Tamandua tetradactyla: one gene and its partner. The protein of the gene in region 2 interacts with the protein of the main gene of each other region in a biochemical or structural test. Links are inferred from orthologs where the notes say so. Each region holds a gene or a part of one and is shown on either strand. Other genes may lie near its edges.

Region 1 (7,765 bases), on a different chromosome or scaffold from region 2:
AATACCATGATTAACATTTGTGAATATCTTTCCAGTGTAATTTTTAGTCAAATTTCACAAATATTTGTAAATTTTATTCTAAATAGGATTCAGCAAATATTTCCTTAGTTCAGCAGCAGTATTTCCTTAAATATAGAGAAGAGTTATTTTTGGCAACTTTCCAGGGAAAAAGTATGTAAAAACATAAGGATAGATTTTGTAAAAGAAAATAATCAGCCTTTATCTTCATGTTTTCTGAAAAACTAAATTTAAACAAATTATTTAACTTTTTATAGGTTTGACCAGTAGATTTAAAATGTTAGTTTGCTGAAAGAATTATCTAGAGATGTACTAGCAAGCTAGTACTTATCAGCTGATTGGAGTTATAATAATTTATATGTAGATCATTTCACTAGAGTGTGCTTGCTTTCTCAGTGAGTCTGTTAAGATTGCAAACACTCTGATAGTAGTATCATATCATTAGTGTTATCTGCTTTATTTCCTACTTTTTAAAAAAAGACTGATTCTAATAATAGAAAGGGAGTTTGCAGTATTTTCAAGTTCTCACGTGGTTGGGGCTTTGATCATTTTAGAGCAAGTTAATATATTTTTATATAACATCTTCAGGAACAGATGCTTTTATTTTAAGTGTACATCATTATTATTAAACAGTTTAATTTCAGTAGCTTGGGACCTGATTTGTAAAATATCAGGTTAAATATCTGGTGACTATTCTGTTTTCCTGTTTAAATAGCAATATGTGTCTGCTCTGGTGGCCAGGTTAGTATTGAAAAGCCCAAGTTTGAGACTCAGATGCTCAGATGCTTTCCCCAACTGGCTTCCGTTATGCATGGCTGAACTCTTTGAGCATGTCTAGCATCCTAAATACAGGCGCTCCTCACAGTGTGAAAATAAGACCTGATTAAAAACAAATCTACTTTAATTGCCCTTTAATTCCCCTTTTTAAATGGCTCTGCTTTAATGTCACCTTTCTGAGTGATCTTTAGTACTTATATGAGGACAATCACTTCACCATCCATTTATCATACAGAGGAAAGACATTACCCCTACTTTTTGACCTTTTTCAATGAGCATCGATTGTTGCTTGTTAAAATAAGATAAATATAAAGTCATCAGAGAATAACAGAGTGGGTTGCCTTTCTATTGAAAACATACAAAGAGGAATTCTTATGAAGAAATTCTGCTCTTGTTAATATTTGTAACAAAATTGCAAATGGAATTTTTAACACTTAACCTAGGGCTGTTTCCATTACACTGTGATGTCTATCATTGACATCATCAGTGTTTTAAAAATTTCCCAAAGTTCAAGGTAAAGTAGTGTTTGCTATCCTTAAAGAATTAGTATCCTGAAAGAATTCATGCATGGGCATGACTTTTATAGAAATGGGTAGAATTTCAACCTGAATTGCTCATTTTAGCTCCATATCTAAAGGCTAATTTTCCTTTTAAAAAGTTTGTTTAAATGAAATTAGAGTAGCGTTTTTTTTGGCATCATAGGAGCATATTACAATTTTGAACAGGAAAGAATTAACATTTGTTTTACTCATTAAATAATCTGTATATCTATTTAGACTGATAACTATTGACACATATAAACCTAGAATTCACTTTTGAGGTGTATCTATTGGATTAAAATAAAAAACTAAAATGGATACTTCTTTTGCTGTTTTTGATGCCCATAATTCTGAAAACAGGGAGTTTTCTGGAAATTAACCCTTCAAGAGAATTGGAGTGTGAGGTTCCATAAAATAATGTTTAACAGGATTTTTGCTTGCTTTTAAGTTGTTAGATAATAGTTTCTGGGTTGTTTTATACATTTCTGGTAAAATGAGAAATTTTATCTTAATTTGACATTTGCTTCTAATCTTTTTGACATTCTGTGATCTTTAAGAATCTTTGAGAGAGGTTTAACTCGACTTTGCTTAACAATTTGTACATTAGTAATCTTCTAACATAATTTCTTCTTTGCCTATTTCGAATTTAATTATCAAAATTAAGTTATCTACTCAGTTTTTTACATGGGGAATAGCTGTAGAGCAAGATCTTTTTAAACTAACCTAGGAGAATGACATTTCATTTTGTATTTAGCTGTTAAGCATGCTGCTTTTTATTTTCACTTACTGTCCTCTTATTTTAGTACCATGGAGAAGGTATTATGAATACATCTTAATTAGTTCTTATTTTGTTCTAGTTTATCCTTTTATTGCTCTGTGGGGCTCATAGATGTATATAAAATACACATTTAATCATTAAGTAGTTTCTCTTCCAATAATTTTGCTTTTAAAAGAAGTTTAAACAGTTTTTCAGCTCTTGACTCTTTCTTCATGATTTTAACTGAAGTCTACACTCAAGGTAAGGTCTGCCCTTTATTTTTCTAATTCCAAGATACTGTGTTCCGAAACCTCCTCTTTATCAGTTGCCCCTTGAAATATAATTGAGCTGGGCCTCTTCTGTTTTCATGGTGACATGAGAGAGATTTCAGTTAATTTAGAGCTTATCAGGTTTTAAACGAGTAATTTACATTACATTTCAAAATGTATCTGAAAATGTGGTTGCTTGTACTGAAATTAATGCCTCATTGAAAAATGCATGTAAGTCAGTGCTTGCTAACTACAGTCACATGCAAGGTATTATAGTTCATGAGTTTAGGTAATAGTGTACTGACTGCATTTTACAGGTGTTAGTTGTCGTGAAAGTGGAATGACCAAATGTAAGTAGCCAATCTTAATGCAGGTTGAGTTGTTTTTCTTTTTGTCGAAGGAGGAATCAATTCTAAAATATTTTCAAGAACAGAATTTCCATTTCATTTAGTTACTTTTTGGGTTGCAGGATGATAAGGTCAATCTCCACAGTGGCATTAAATACCTTAACTAAATTATGAATGTGTGCCATGATTGTGGTGGTGCTTTGTTTCCAATTTTTTTAGACTTCCTTTTTCTTTCTATTTAGTCTTCCTTTTTAGACTTCGTTCCTGCTTCTTAACTGAGGTTCAAGTCAATAGTCCAGGAAAAAAAAATGCACTGAGATAGAAAATGAAAACATAAGGTAGGACTATATCATATAAAATAAACCAGTTATAGTAGTAGCTGGCCAAGAATCTGAAGTTTTAGAAGTAACTTGTCAAAATTCCAAAATCAGTTCAATGGAAAAATGTCAACCAAGTTTGCAAGGCTGTCCCCTGAGCTAGAGCATCTTGGACAGAAATTGTTGCAGTTGTGTAAAGGGTGGACTTGCTTAGCCTTCTGAATGTCTTGAGAGAGGGAAAAGAATCTCAGTTGACCAGAGTTGCTGAGATTAAATTTATGAAATACAGTGTAGACTAGTAAACTAAGTACAGGAAAGTCTGATGTGATTCTCAGGTAGTTGTATGCTCTCTCTCCAACGCAGTCATGAAGAAAGTTTGTTATACAAACAAAAAACCAATGTGAAGCTTTAACTTCTGTGGAAGAAAAGAAATAAATATAAACAGGTAACCCCAGATATTAGCGCTGAATCATCACTGGTTATGGTGACAATATTTTCTTATTAAAGTTAACATAGTTTGATGATATGTTGGTTTGTTACTTAGGGGGACAATGAATAGGATTAAATATTTAAAACCTGGCTTCTATCTTAAGGACCACACCTCTGATACTATTACTGAAGGTGAAAAATGGAAAAGAAAACGGAGTTGCTGACTGTTCTATTCTAAAAATTCCATTTTTCTGGACTCAGTTTAGTAAAGTTGGCTTTACTTTGTGGGGGCTTACCCGGATTTCGGTAAGCTCGCTTTTTATTTATTTTTAAACATAACATACAAAAACGAATATTCTTACCATATGATCATTCCATTCTTGGTATATAATTAGTAACTCACATTATCATCACATAGGTGTGTATTCATCACTATAATAATTTCTTAGAACATTTAAAGCTCGCTTTTTAAATAAACTTTTATATAAAGTTCAACTATAGGTTTCAAAATTCCATAGTCCATGAAAGGCCAGTGGTCTAATCCCTTCCTCTGCTTCCCAGTAAAATATTTAATAATGACAAGCACATACTAGACATATAACTGTTTCATTTCACTTCTATTCCTGGTATACCGTAACGATCAGCAAGGGTATCTTGAAAAAGGTTTCGCAAGATCCTATATAAAATAAAATTGCTTCACGTTACAAGCTAATGATTCTTGGGAGGGATGGGTTTCTATAGCCGTCATTGCTTAGTTGGGCGGTGAGAAGAGCGGCCTAGTTCTGACCACTTTCCCAAGCAGGCGGGGATCCAAGTGCCCGGAAGCGAAAAGACGCTGCTTTGAAGGGTGTACTGGGGAGGTGACCTGGCTTCTTTTAGTAGAAGCTGCTGGCACATGCAGCCCTGTCAAAATCAACCCCATTTCTCTCTTTTCTTTCACCAGGCTAGCGCCTGGGGACGCCAGTGCGAGGGGACAGAGACAGTTCCTGCCTCTCCATGCTCCGCGCCCGGCACCGCCCCGCGGCCAGCCTCCCCCACGGCTGCGCGCCTGCGCACCAGGACAGAGCGCGCGAGCGTTCCTTCCCCGCCCCGCGTTCCTCCCTCCCCCGCCCGCCCCCGCGCGCTTGCGCGCCGGCTGGGAGGCTTTCGGATCCTCTGCGGGCCGGCAGGCGGGCGGACGCGCCCGCAGCGAGGGGAGGTGGCGAGAGGCGGGCCGCGCGCGCGCCGGTGGGAAGCGTCCGGCTGCCACAGCGCCAGCTCCGTCGTAGTCGCTGCCGCCCGGGTCCCGCTCGCCCCTCCTCCCTGCTCCCCCCTCCCGCCGCCGCCCGGGCGCATGCGCCACCGGAGCGCGAGGGTCGGCTTCGGGTGTGTGGTGGCGGCAGAGCTGAGCTGCGGAGCCCGAGAGTCAGAACCTGGGGGAGAGGGATGGTCTCTGCACGGGGGGGAGCCGGAGGAGCCGCCGCCGCTGCCGACGCCACCGCCGCAGCCGCCGCCGTCGCCGCGCCCGCCTCCTGGCGCTGACTGTCTTGTACGAAGCCGGCGAGGGAGAACCCGCAGCAGCGGTCGCCGGCACACCGTCCAGCATGGTCCGGGAAACCAGGCACCTCTGGGTGGGCAACTTACCAGAGAATGTGCGGGAAGAGAAGATCATCGAACATTTTAAACGGTGAGTGACACGAGGGCCGAGACCGCGCTCTCACCTCGGGCGCCGCTTCCCGCTCCGGCCGGTTGCCTGCCCTTCCCCGTGCTCGGAACTGGTGAGGAGGACCCCGGCCCCAGACCCTCGGGCGGGTGCGGAGCGCGCGGGCTGCCCTCGTCAGCCGCTCGGTCCGCGTCCCGGCGTTGGGCCTCGGGCCTCGGCGGAGCCCGGGCCGCCGAGCCGCGGCCGCGAAGGGCGCCCGCGGGGTCCCGGCTGCCGCCCTCAGCCTTCCGAATAAGGAGACTGTTGTTCGGCCTCCTCGAAGCAGGCGTGGGGTGGGCTGCCTCAGGGTGGCGAAGACGCCGGTCGGAGCCACACGCTCGGTGGAGCTCCCTTGTGGGGTCGCGTCCTTGCGCGCCTGCTGCCGCGGCGAGCCGCTCTCCCGCCTCTGGGACGGCGCCTTGCCGCCCGGCCCGGCGAGACAGAAGCGAGAGGCGACTGAGGGCCGCGGGCGGACCGGGACCCGAACCCGTCCCCGCCTCACAGCCCTCCGGCGCGGCAAAGTCCCGAGTCCCGCAGCAACTAAGCTTCCCGCTGCGCGGGCGCGTAAAATGTCTGGCTTCAAGAGGTTTTTGTGTGAAAGAAAAGATCATACAAAACCAGAAGTCTTGGTAGGTAATGAAGGAGTATCTCTGAACTGGAAAGACTCTTCTCGGGACCTCTCACACGTAGGATCTGTAGACCTAGACGCTCTGTGGAAATGGCAAATTAACATTTTGTCTTTTTTTTCGGAGTGGAGTAGAGAATGATGTCAGAAAATGAGTTGGTGCCTCTGTTTGGACTCTTTCGCCTTCCTTCTTGCAGCCCTCGTCAGTCTCTGGGTGAGGAGGATGCTGGAGCTAAATGCTTGCAGGGTCCGAGCAGCCTCCGGTAGAGGTAGGAAGGCAGGCGCTGGAGGGGAAGCCTCTGCCGCTGCGGCTGCTCTGGTCTTATAATTTTCTGTCTTTAAAAAGGACGGTCTTTTCCTCCATCCGAGTTCTTAAATCAAATGGTTAAAAAAAATGCAAGCCTGTTAAGACTGGAAGATGAAGCTTTTTAAGCCTCCCTGAATATTTTATTTGTCCTTGAAATATAAGAGTAGAGTTTGCTCTTGATACATATTTATTTAGTAGCATTTAGCGCTTGTTTTCTTTGTGAAATCTATGTGTACCGTGGCTGATAAAGGTTTCAATATAAAACACCTAAAATAACGACTTACTGAGATACGGTGCAAATGGAGGATCATTGCAAATCTTTATGATCGTCCTCCAAAGTTATTGTTCTTCCGATGTTCAAGACCCTAAAAAGGTTTTGAGTTTGGTTTGCTCTTAATTCTTCTTACTGTTTAGTGAGTGAAAAAAATTATGGAGCGTCCTTATTAGTGAGTCACCATGGGAAAAATAGATTGCGTCTCTTGCTCTTAAGCCACTTGGATAAGGAAATGGAAGCAGCGGCAGCAAAGCTCCTCTCAGCCTTTTAAATGGAGGATCATTGATTCTGTTGGTGGTTGCTGTTACTGGGGTATTAAATCTTCACCGCTGGAGCGCGCCTTTGCGCGTGTCCGCGTGTGAAAAGGAGTTGGGAATTGTGAGACCATTCATAACCTGCTAAAGCTGTCCTTAGTAGGGTTGGTGGGGGGGGGGCGGTGCGCGCTTCTAGGGACTCTCCCTGTGTTTACTACGTTGTGCCTGAGGAAGCTGGCGAAGGGAAGGCAGGGAGCAAAGATTCGCCTCTGTCCCCCTGTGATAAAGAGGAGATCTAGGGCTCCATTGGGAAGCTGATGGGAACTTTCTCTTCCTGGCGCTGCTCCACCCCTTTCCCCGCCCTCCCCCGCTCAATATCTTCAGTGTTTTGGTGGAAAAATCATTTAGGTGCAGATTATTGGAGGGTATAGACAACTTAGATGTGCTCACTTTTACCTCCTCGTGGACTTTTCTCTGTCGGTCTCTGGGAATTTTGCTTGCACCGACGTGCAAACACGTGCATCGCCTCATTCTCTTTGCTTCTCGGTGATATGTGGCCAGATGTGTCGTTTTGCATTATGCAGATTGCAGAGACTTTGCATGTTTGTCGTGGGGAGTTTGACTTCTCTGCAAGATGAGGGGGTAGGGAAAGGAAAGAGGAAATCGACCAGGGGACTTTGAGAAGGTTTTTAAGTGGATGGTGCTGTGGTCCAGCTTGTTTGAATGACTTTCTAAAATGGCGGCTAGGACCCACTTTATGTGGGAATCTGCCGAGCAGATCTCAGAATGCATAAAAGGAGGAGGGGGTGGAGGATGCTAGCTGCCTTGGAAAGCGGCAGTCTGGAGACACATTACTATATTTAAGAGGGCTTAGCTGGTACATTGCTCAAGACTGCATTTAAAGGAGTATCTTACCTATTGCAGAGCAAAAGCAAATGCTTTTGTTAAAAGCATGTAATTTTAAAACTAAGACAGTGTGTCCCTGAAACTCCTTTATTTTAAAGGTGACTTTTTCATTTTTAAACAAATGTATCTAATCTTTTGAGTAGTATATTTGTAAGCTTTCAAGGAGCATACAAATCTACATAGAGAATAATCTCCCCTTCACAACTGACCTTAGACTTGCCCCTTCCCATTTCTTCTCGCCAACAGGTAATCTCTCTTTCTTGTT
Region 2 (7,790 bases):
AAATGACAAAGCATTAAAAAAAAAAAAGTATTGTTAAAATTGTCATTACTGTTAATAATTGGCCTAGAGTCTGTGAAAACATTTTATGCTACTATTTTATTTTGAAAGAAGTCAAGAAGAAAGTCATCTCATAAGTTACAATGTGTTATTACATTTAGGTTTGACAGATCTTCAATCTTTTACACACACACACAAACACACACACAAAATACCACCCTATCATTTGTTTCACATGTCCCTCTCCCTCAAGTTTATAAGAATAAAAAGTATCTGCTTTATTACCCAAACTATAATACACATTCGGATTTTTTTCATCCTACCATCACCACTGTAACTTGCCAAGAACCGAGTAGAGTTCATAACCTCTCATTTGATTTCCTATAAAACATGACCTACTTATTCAGCAACAATTCCTAGACCCCAACCATCCCTTATATCCAAGGATATTCTCTGCAAATCTTAATGCACAGCAATCCTGTACAGATAGGGCAAGTATTACAATTCCCATTTTACTACACAGTTAGGAAACTGGCTGAGGGGAAGTATAGTAACTTGGAAATAATCACAAAGCCAGATGCCAAAAATAACAACTTTAAGTCAATCCATGAGAAAAAACTGCCCCTAGCTGAAATTTAGTATTAGGAGGAAGCAAAATGCAAAATAATGCTTTAAATCCAAACCCGAAGTTTTAATTTAAAAATTACCACATACCAGAATTAAGAAGATATGAAAGAACTACCAAAATCCTTTTTTCTAATGCCTTACCAATCTAGTCTCCCAAAAAGTATTTAATGAATTACATGTGGCAAGAGAAGCTTTTTATCTAAACCATTTTTTTATATTCTAGCCACTTAAAAGATATCGATAGAAATCTGTTGGTATAGAGTAAAAGGCAGCCTTTCAGCAAACCTAATGCATGAAATTTAATGCCTAGAAGCATATTTAGAATCAATCCTAAATTACTGCAAATGTGTCTCCACATTTTTTCCTGAAAATAAATTTTCCATAGACCTATCTGCAATACACTTGGATGACAAATTTAAAGATTTTATAGTCTATATTCAGAATGAAAGTTCTCCTGCTACAACTCATACTGTATATTTCTATATATGCTGCTGGATATAATTTAATTTAGTAAAGATACTGTTTTATTTTTAGTCACAAAATAAAGGCCTTATGTCACGAAAAAGTACATGATTTAGAAATAAAATGCAAAATGTAAAAGTTGCCCTTGTGTGTGTGTGTGTGTGTGTGTGTGTGTGTGTGTGTACAAGTCAGAATAAAATATCTTCCATTCAGAACCAACAGTGTGCTCAACAATTTTACTTCCAAAGGATGATTATGCACTAAGAACAAGGGAAGCAAATGGTTATTGGTAAAATCCACTCATGGAAACTAAACTGCAAATTTTCATACACCTCCCAGTATAAATCACGAAACTATGATTTCCATTAATTAAAATTTAAATTACTAATTTTAACCACAATCATCAGCCAAAAAAAAAAAAAAGTTTTTCAGTCCACCAATATTCCTCAGACTAGATCTTGTAAATTCTCTCAGCATCTTATGAGGAACATCAGTTTACAAATGAAATGACATGACAAAATGATTCTTTAAGTAACATATCTTCTAAAAATAGTGGCCAATAGGAGAAAAATAGTAATTTTTAAAACCCTGAATATATTCATTCTAGTTATCCTGGTAAGTCTAATATCTCATATTCTGAGCACTAGAATAATTCAAGCCATTAAAATACACCACCACCAAGATTTTAACACTAACGTAACAATGAGAATTTGGAACCACGTAATGTTCCTTTAACATATTAGGAAATGCACGTAACTAACTTTAAGACAATCTTCCTTAAGACTATTACTTATATAACTTTTAATTGCATTTTATTAATATAGTTCAGAAAGATCCTAGAAACAGTATTCATCAACCAGAAACTGCACTCTTAAGTGCTCTCCTCATTTCAACCCGAATAAAGGAACAGAAGGGTTTTCATAAATATACAGAGCAAAATCCACATAACTGTGCCTATCTGGTGCTTAAGAAAAAAACAAAACATTTATATCAAATCAATTCCCAAGCAGAATGTCTTCCTTCCTTTTTATAAAACAAAAGTTAACCAGACTCTAGATATACATTCTAGAAAATACTGAAATTCTCCATCCCAACACTCACAAGTTTTTAACAACAAAATTCACGCAACTCCTACTTACACATCAAATGAGTATCTAACATGGTATCCGAAACTATTCTCAAACACCAACAGAAAAAAATACCTTGCGTCTCCTTTGAACGTCTTAAATACCTTTCGCCCATCCTCAGGTAACCCAGATGCAAAGCTACAGACTGCTGCCCTTGGCCTAGGCCGTCCGGAACCGAGGGGAGGGCGAGAGCGGCGGGGCAGGTGGGCAAGAACCATCACAGACTCTTTTCCAGGGCTACTGTTAGCAAGCAAAACAACTACGGGCCCAGAAACCGCAAAGAAAACTGAAGACATTGTAATCCCGAGAGAAAGGGATGCGGAGGGAGGAGTGGAGCCGGGGAGGAAACTAAGTATCACCATGCATCTTTCAGACCCACTAAAACAACACCCCGCAGGGTCTGCCCTTAGAAGCACCAGATGGAGTCCTCCGCGCTGAGACAGTTCAGCAGACATACACCGTGGGTAGTGGATAAATCAACCGATGATGGGAGCGGGATGGTGACGGGGGGAGTGCGAGGAAATAAACCACTGGGTCGGGGAGACAAAAGCCTCTGGGGGCGACGAAAGATCAAGCAGAAATGAAAGAGGGGAAACACATGAGAAATACAATTCAAGAAAAATTAAAAGTCAGAAACCTGGTGTCTAAACTGTGGTAGGTCACTGGACTGCCGGGTAGACTGGGGCAAAACAAAGGAGCAAGGGAGCGGAGGAGAAGAGACGGAAAAGGGATGCGGGGCGCTACGGGTCAGACAAAGCGCCCAAGACGGCGAAACAAAGGGCCGGGGGTAGAGGGTCGCGAGGAGCAGAGGAGAAAGACAAAGCGCCCGGGGCCAGGGGCACCGGCCAGGCAACGAGGCGACCACCGCCGCGAGGAACAAAGCTGCACGGAGCTGGGAGGCAGGGTCCACGGACGGCTGCAGCGGCGCGGGAGGCGAGCGGCAGGCACAGCGCCCGCGGGCCCCGCGCGCCCCGCCGCACTCACGCCCACACCCGCCGGCCTCGCCGTCGCCGCCGCCGCCGCCGCCGCCCGCCCTCACGCGCCGGAGCCCGAGCCACCGCGGCACACCGCGGACAGCGCACAGCCACAGGGCTCCGTGCACACGCCGCCGCTCCTGCGATCCCCCGACGCCGAGCGCGCCCTGGCACCCGAACCCGCCGCCCGCCGTGGGCTGTGAGACGCCCGCAACTTTCCCCGTTCGCAGCGCTCGGATTCCCCCGACTTACCCTGTCACAACAGGCGCCATCTTCCACAAACTCTCGCCAAAACTCCAACCCTCGCGAGATTCCCCCGAAGCCTTCTCTAGTCCCTCTCCCCCGCCCCTTCCCTTTTTCCTCGCTCCTCGATTCCACCCAGCCCCCTAGTTCCTTTTCCCTTCGCAGCCGCCGCGAAAGCCAGACGCCTCGCGCCGCCCGCGGAGTAGGGGATCCAGCTTGCTGCCTTCCCTGGAAACCTACCCAAGCAATGGAGCATGCGCAGGCGGCTCCTCCGCGGGCGAGCCCTCCGTGTGGTCCATGGGGAGCGCTCCAGTTATCCGGGTTTTGAGACGTGCCCTGAGGGACGTACGTGGAGACTGAGGAAAACTGGAGGGGATTACAACAGGGACGGGGAATGGAGGGGTCAGAAGGCGGGGCCGAGGGATAGGGAGGAGGGGTCCTGGGAAAATCTGCCGCGTTTCACAGGCCTAGATGAAACACCTCCTCAAATGGGTGTTTTCCAAGTGGCTTCCCGCTCACTCTGGGTTCCCAGCCCTTTTCATTCATTCAAACGTTCATTGGACGCCTCAGTATAAGGTGCTGGAACTACAAATATGCCTGGGGTTAGGGCAAGTGACAGACCAAGGAACTATCTTTATTCTTTTGATCCCCATTGCTAATGGAGGGCCGAACATAATTACAACGTGATCCGCCCCTCCAGTGCTCTGTAAACGGAAAACTTTTGTGGTTGAACTCTGTCGCCTTAGACTTCTACTCCTTGGGTGCGAAGTGAGGTCAGGCCAAGGCCTCTTGCAAAGTCATCTAGAATGTCCACCTTACATACACACGCTAGAGCGCCGAGCAGTTTTCTCCGTAGTGTAAACTGAGTTGGAATTGAAAGCCACTATCACCACAGCCCCTCCCCACCCACCCCCGACCACGGCCCTGGCCAGAGGCCGCAAAGCTCATTCCCTGCCACTCGGTGCAGTGACCTGCCTGCCGCGTGAGCCTCTCTAGGGGCCCAACGCACCAGCCACCATGAGTGAGCCAGGTGAATATAGGGCCAACTCTGCCCAGGGAACCGGCCCTTCCATGGGCCTGGCACAGCCAAGGATGCTGCCAGCTGCCCGCCACGTACATCGAGAGCCCTAAGGTCTGAAAGCCGGGAGCAATTTTGGACGGTCCTAGCATTTAATTGAAAAGTGCAGGGCCCGAACTTCACCCCTCCCCCGCACCTGGGGGTCCCCCCACTCTCCCGCTCTACTCCGCCTTTCCTTTCCTAGAGATTCCCAGATCCTGTACTGCCTCCCACAGGGAGCCCCAAAACCCGGAGAACTGGAATACGCTCGAAACCTGCTTGAAGGCGCTGCAGGATTGGCGCGGCACGCGCGAGCCACACTGCGCATGTGCCCAATGCGGGCAGCCTAGTCTCACGCTGCACCTCCTTCCCACCGCCTTCCACTACTCGCCTCAGACACAACACGGGCCGTGGGAAATTCGCTAAACCTCGCGAGAACGTGCCCGCTGTTGCCTATACCTCGGCCCCAAGTCTCGCGGAGCCCAGGCAGTACAGGTGTTTGTCTCGTGCAGCTCTGGGCGCTGTTCGTGCAGCTCGTGTCCTGGCGGCAGGCGGGGTGGAAAGGGAGCGGCACTCCGCGGAGGCGGGACCGGTGGGCGCGTGGCGGGATGCGCAGGGAGGAGGCTGGACGTCTCGCACACACTCGCGTTCGTGACTCTTCGTGGAAGAAGTGGTCCGTAGGAAAGTAGGGGAACTTGGGAGACTAGAAACCGCTCCCGGCGTGAAAGGGGTAAGAAGTCAGACTCTAAGGCAGGAGGAGCCCCAGACCTAACTCCCGGGGACATTTAGTGTCGCCCTTCACGAGCCTGGTACTTTCCTAAAATGTGTAAGACGCCGCTGCTCCCCACCTCCAGAAGCTGACAGACAGCCCCAGTGTCAGGGTTGAGTCATGCCTGAGTCACCTAGTCTGGTTACCACTTCGCTTGCTTTAAAGCAAGTTCGGATTCCCTTAGCTACTCTTCCTTTAGCAATTGTTTTTTCCTTTCAGTTGTACGCGCTGGCCTGATGAGTTGGGTAGGAAAAAAAAAAATGCCGGTCTCTGCGCTCTCAAATTGTTGGCTAGTTTTTGCTTCCCGTTCAAGGACACGATTTTTGAAAATCCGTCTTCCGCCCCTAATCTTTTTAACCTTTTGAAGTAATCCTTTCGTACCAGTTTCTGTTCTTTTTTCTTTCCCTCAGTTAATGTGAATCATAATTTTGGTTTTGCTTCCCTTCCCCTTTCCATATTTTCTTTGAGTATTCATTCCATTTTAGGTATTGTTTTGTGGGGTGCTTTAGTGACCACTGTTTTAACTGTATCCCTTTCCTTTTGGGTTTTTATTTTGTACAGTGAGTTCCTAGTTACATTCTTCAGTCAGGCACATTTTAGATTGCCCCGGATATGGTTTCTATACCAACCTTTTCTAACATTGCTTCCTTGCTGAGAGCACCCCATAGATCCGCAAATGTAGAATTGAATTTTGATTCCTGAAGGACGCTGAGCCTTCTAATAGGAGCTCATGTTCTGATGGTTTTGTAGTGGACAGTAAAATCAAGTTTCTGTTGTTTTCAAAGGTGTTAGTGTGTATGTGTGTACCTAACCCTTTCATTATGTATTCCGCATAGAAAAATAGCATTTAATCTCAAAGCCATCCTGGTTTGGAACAGTTTAGCTCAAAAGGAGGACCATGGCCTGGACACATATTCCTGGGAGCCTTCCTCCCGAAAAGACATTTCACTTGTGGTCTAGTCCAGGTCACTGATCGAATTTGGAACTATGACCTGAAAGTCCCAGCAACCTTGAAAAGGCATAACCACAAGTATAATCATAACGCCTCATCTTCACACTAAAACCCTGCCCTGAAACTGCTCTGCCTGTGATCTTCTCTCCATCTCAGTAAATGACAAATCCATCCTTCCACTAACTTAAACCAAAAAACTTGAAGCTGTTCTTGCCTCCTTTTTCTCTCACATTCAACATCCAACCTGAGAGAAAATCATGCCGACTTCAAAATACATCCAAAAGCCAATTTCATGTCAGTTTCTACTCACCCAGTCTAAGTTATCTCATTTCTACCCTATCTTGTAGGAAGTCTCCTAACTGATAACCCTTCTTCTTATCTCGCTTCCCCTCATTCTGTTCTCAGTAGAGCATGCAAAACTACTGTGACCCTGGGTTCACAATTCTCCAGTGCTTTTCCCATTTCACTGAGCGTCCCTTCACAGTCTGCCCTGCAGCAGAAACCTCTTTGACCTCACATCTCTTACTCTCCACCTTACTCGTTCAGCACTAACCAGCTGCTTCCTTGCTCCTGGGATACACAGCACACTGTCAACTCCAGACCTTGCTCATTCTGCTGCCTGGCATGTTCTTCCCTCTGGCACCTTAAGGCTCACTTAGGATTCTTGTCTATTTTATTCACTGTTCAAGCCTCAGCCCCTGGAACAATGCTTGGTTCATGGTAGGCAGGTACCCCATATTTTTAGAATGAGTGGGGTGTCCTCTTTAGAGGAGAACAAAAATGATTTTGAAGACTCAGTAAGCCTTTTAGGTTTCAAAGCAGCATTGAAGTTATACCAGTACTGTGTAACCTAGTGCAAGCCTACATGGAAAGAAGGGGAAAGTCTACAGATCAACCTCCTGTCTTGACTTTAGGTAAAAATTAAAAGTTCTTACTCCTGGGTTAGACCAGTAAATGAAGTCACACTTACTTTAAGGGGTTCCTTTATTCTCCATTTTAGAATCTCTGGTTACTAGTAGGAGTAAAAATGTGTTTGATATTTATGGAAAGCTTTTTGGCAAACTTTATCCCTACCTGTTAGTCTTACAATTCAATTCCTATAAATTTATCTTATGACTATACTCACATATGTAAAATTACCTATCTATTACAGCACCATTTATGGTAGAACGTACTGGTAAATACATTCCATTAAGCCTAAATATCCATTAAGAGATGTCTTATTTTAAAAGATCATGCTGTATTTATAAAATGGAATAGTATACATCTGTTAATAAGCAGAGGCTGCCATTTATGTACTTACATGGAAGGTTCACAAAGATACAGTAAATTCAAAAAGCCAAGTGCAAAACAGTGTTAGATAAATATATACTTACTTACCTATATGTATCTAAAATGACTCTGGGAGGATACAATAGAAACTATAACGTTAACTGCATTCTAGTAAGGGACTTGATGGTTGGCGAACAGAGGGGAGGGGTTGGCTTATCTCACTGTCTGCTATCTTGAATCCTTTGACTTTTGTACCACGTGCAAGTATTATTGCCTACTCAAAATACAAAATGTTAAGAAAAGGAATAAA

Evidence for each region. The genes of interacting proteins can lie anywhere in the genome.
Region 1: the proteins of RBPJ (region 2) and SPEN form a complex in vitro, tested with the Homo sapiens proteins (2 studies listed by BioGRID and IntAct). The link is inferred for Tamandua tetradactyla from reciprocal best matches to the Homo sapiens genes RBPJ and SPEN.

The regions. Positions count from the first base shown.
Region 1 is NC_135328.1:210,041,915-210,049,679, reverse strand, and holds the start of SPEN (msx2-interacting protein), read left to right. Parts: upstream 1-4,765; 5' UTR 4,766-5,036; coding exon 5,037-5,119; intron 5,120-5,601; exon of another isoform or gene 5,602-5,763; intron 5,764-7,765. UniProt on the Homo sapiens protein: May serve as a nuclear matrix platform that organizes and integrates transcriptional responses. In osteoblasts, supports transcription activation: synergizes with RUNX2 to enhance FGFR2-mediated activation of the osteocalcin FGF-responsive element (OCFRE).
Region 2 is NC_135345.1:26,658,109-26,665,898, reverse strand, and holds the start of RBPJ (recombining binding protein suppressor of hairless), read right to left. Parts: upstream 3,014-7,790; 5' UTR 2,669-3,013; coding exon 2,289-2,668; intron 1-2,288. UniProt on the Homo sapiens protein: Transcriptional regulator that plays a central role in Notch signaling, a signaling pathway involved in cell-cell communication that regulates a broad spectrum of cell-fate determinations.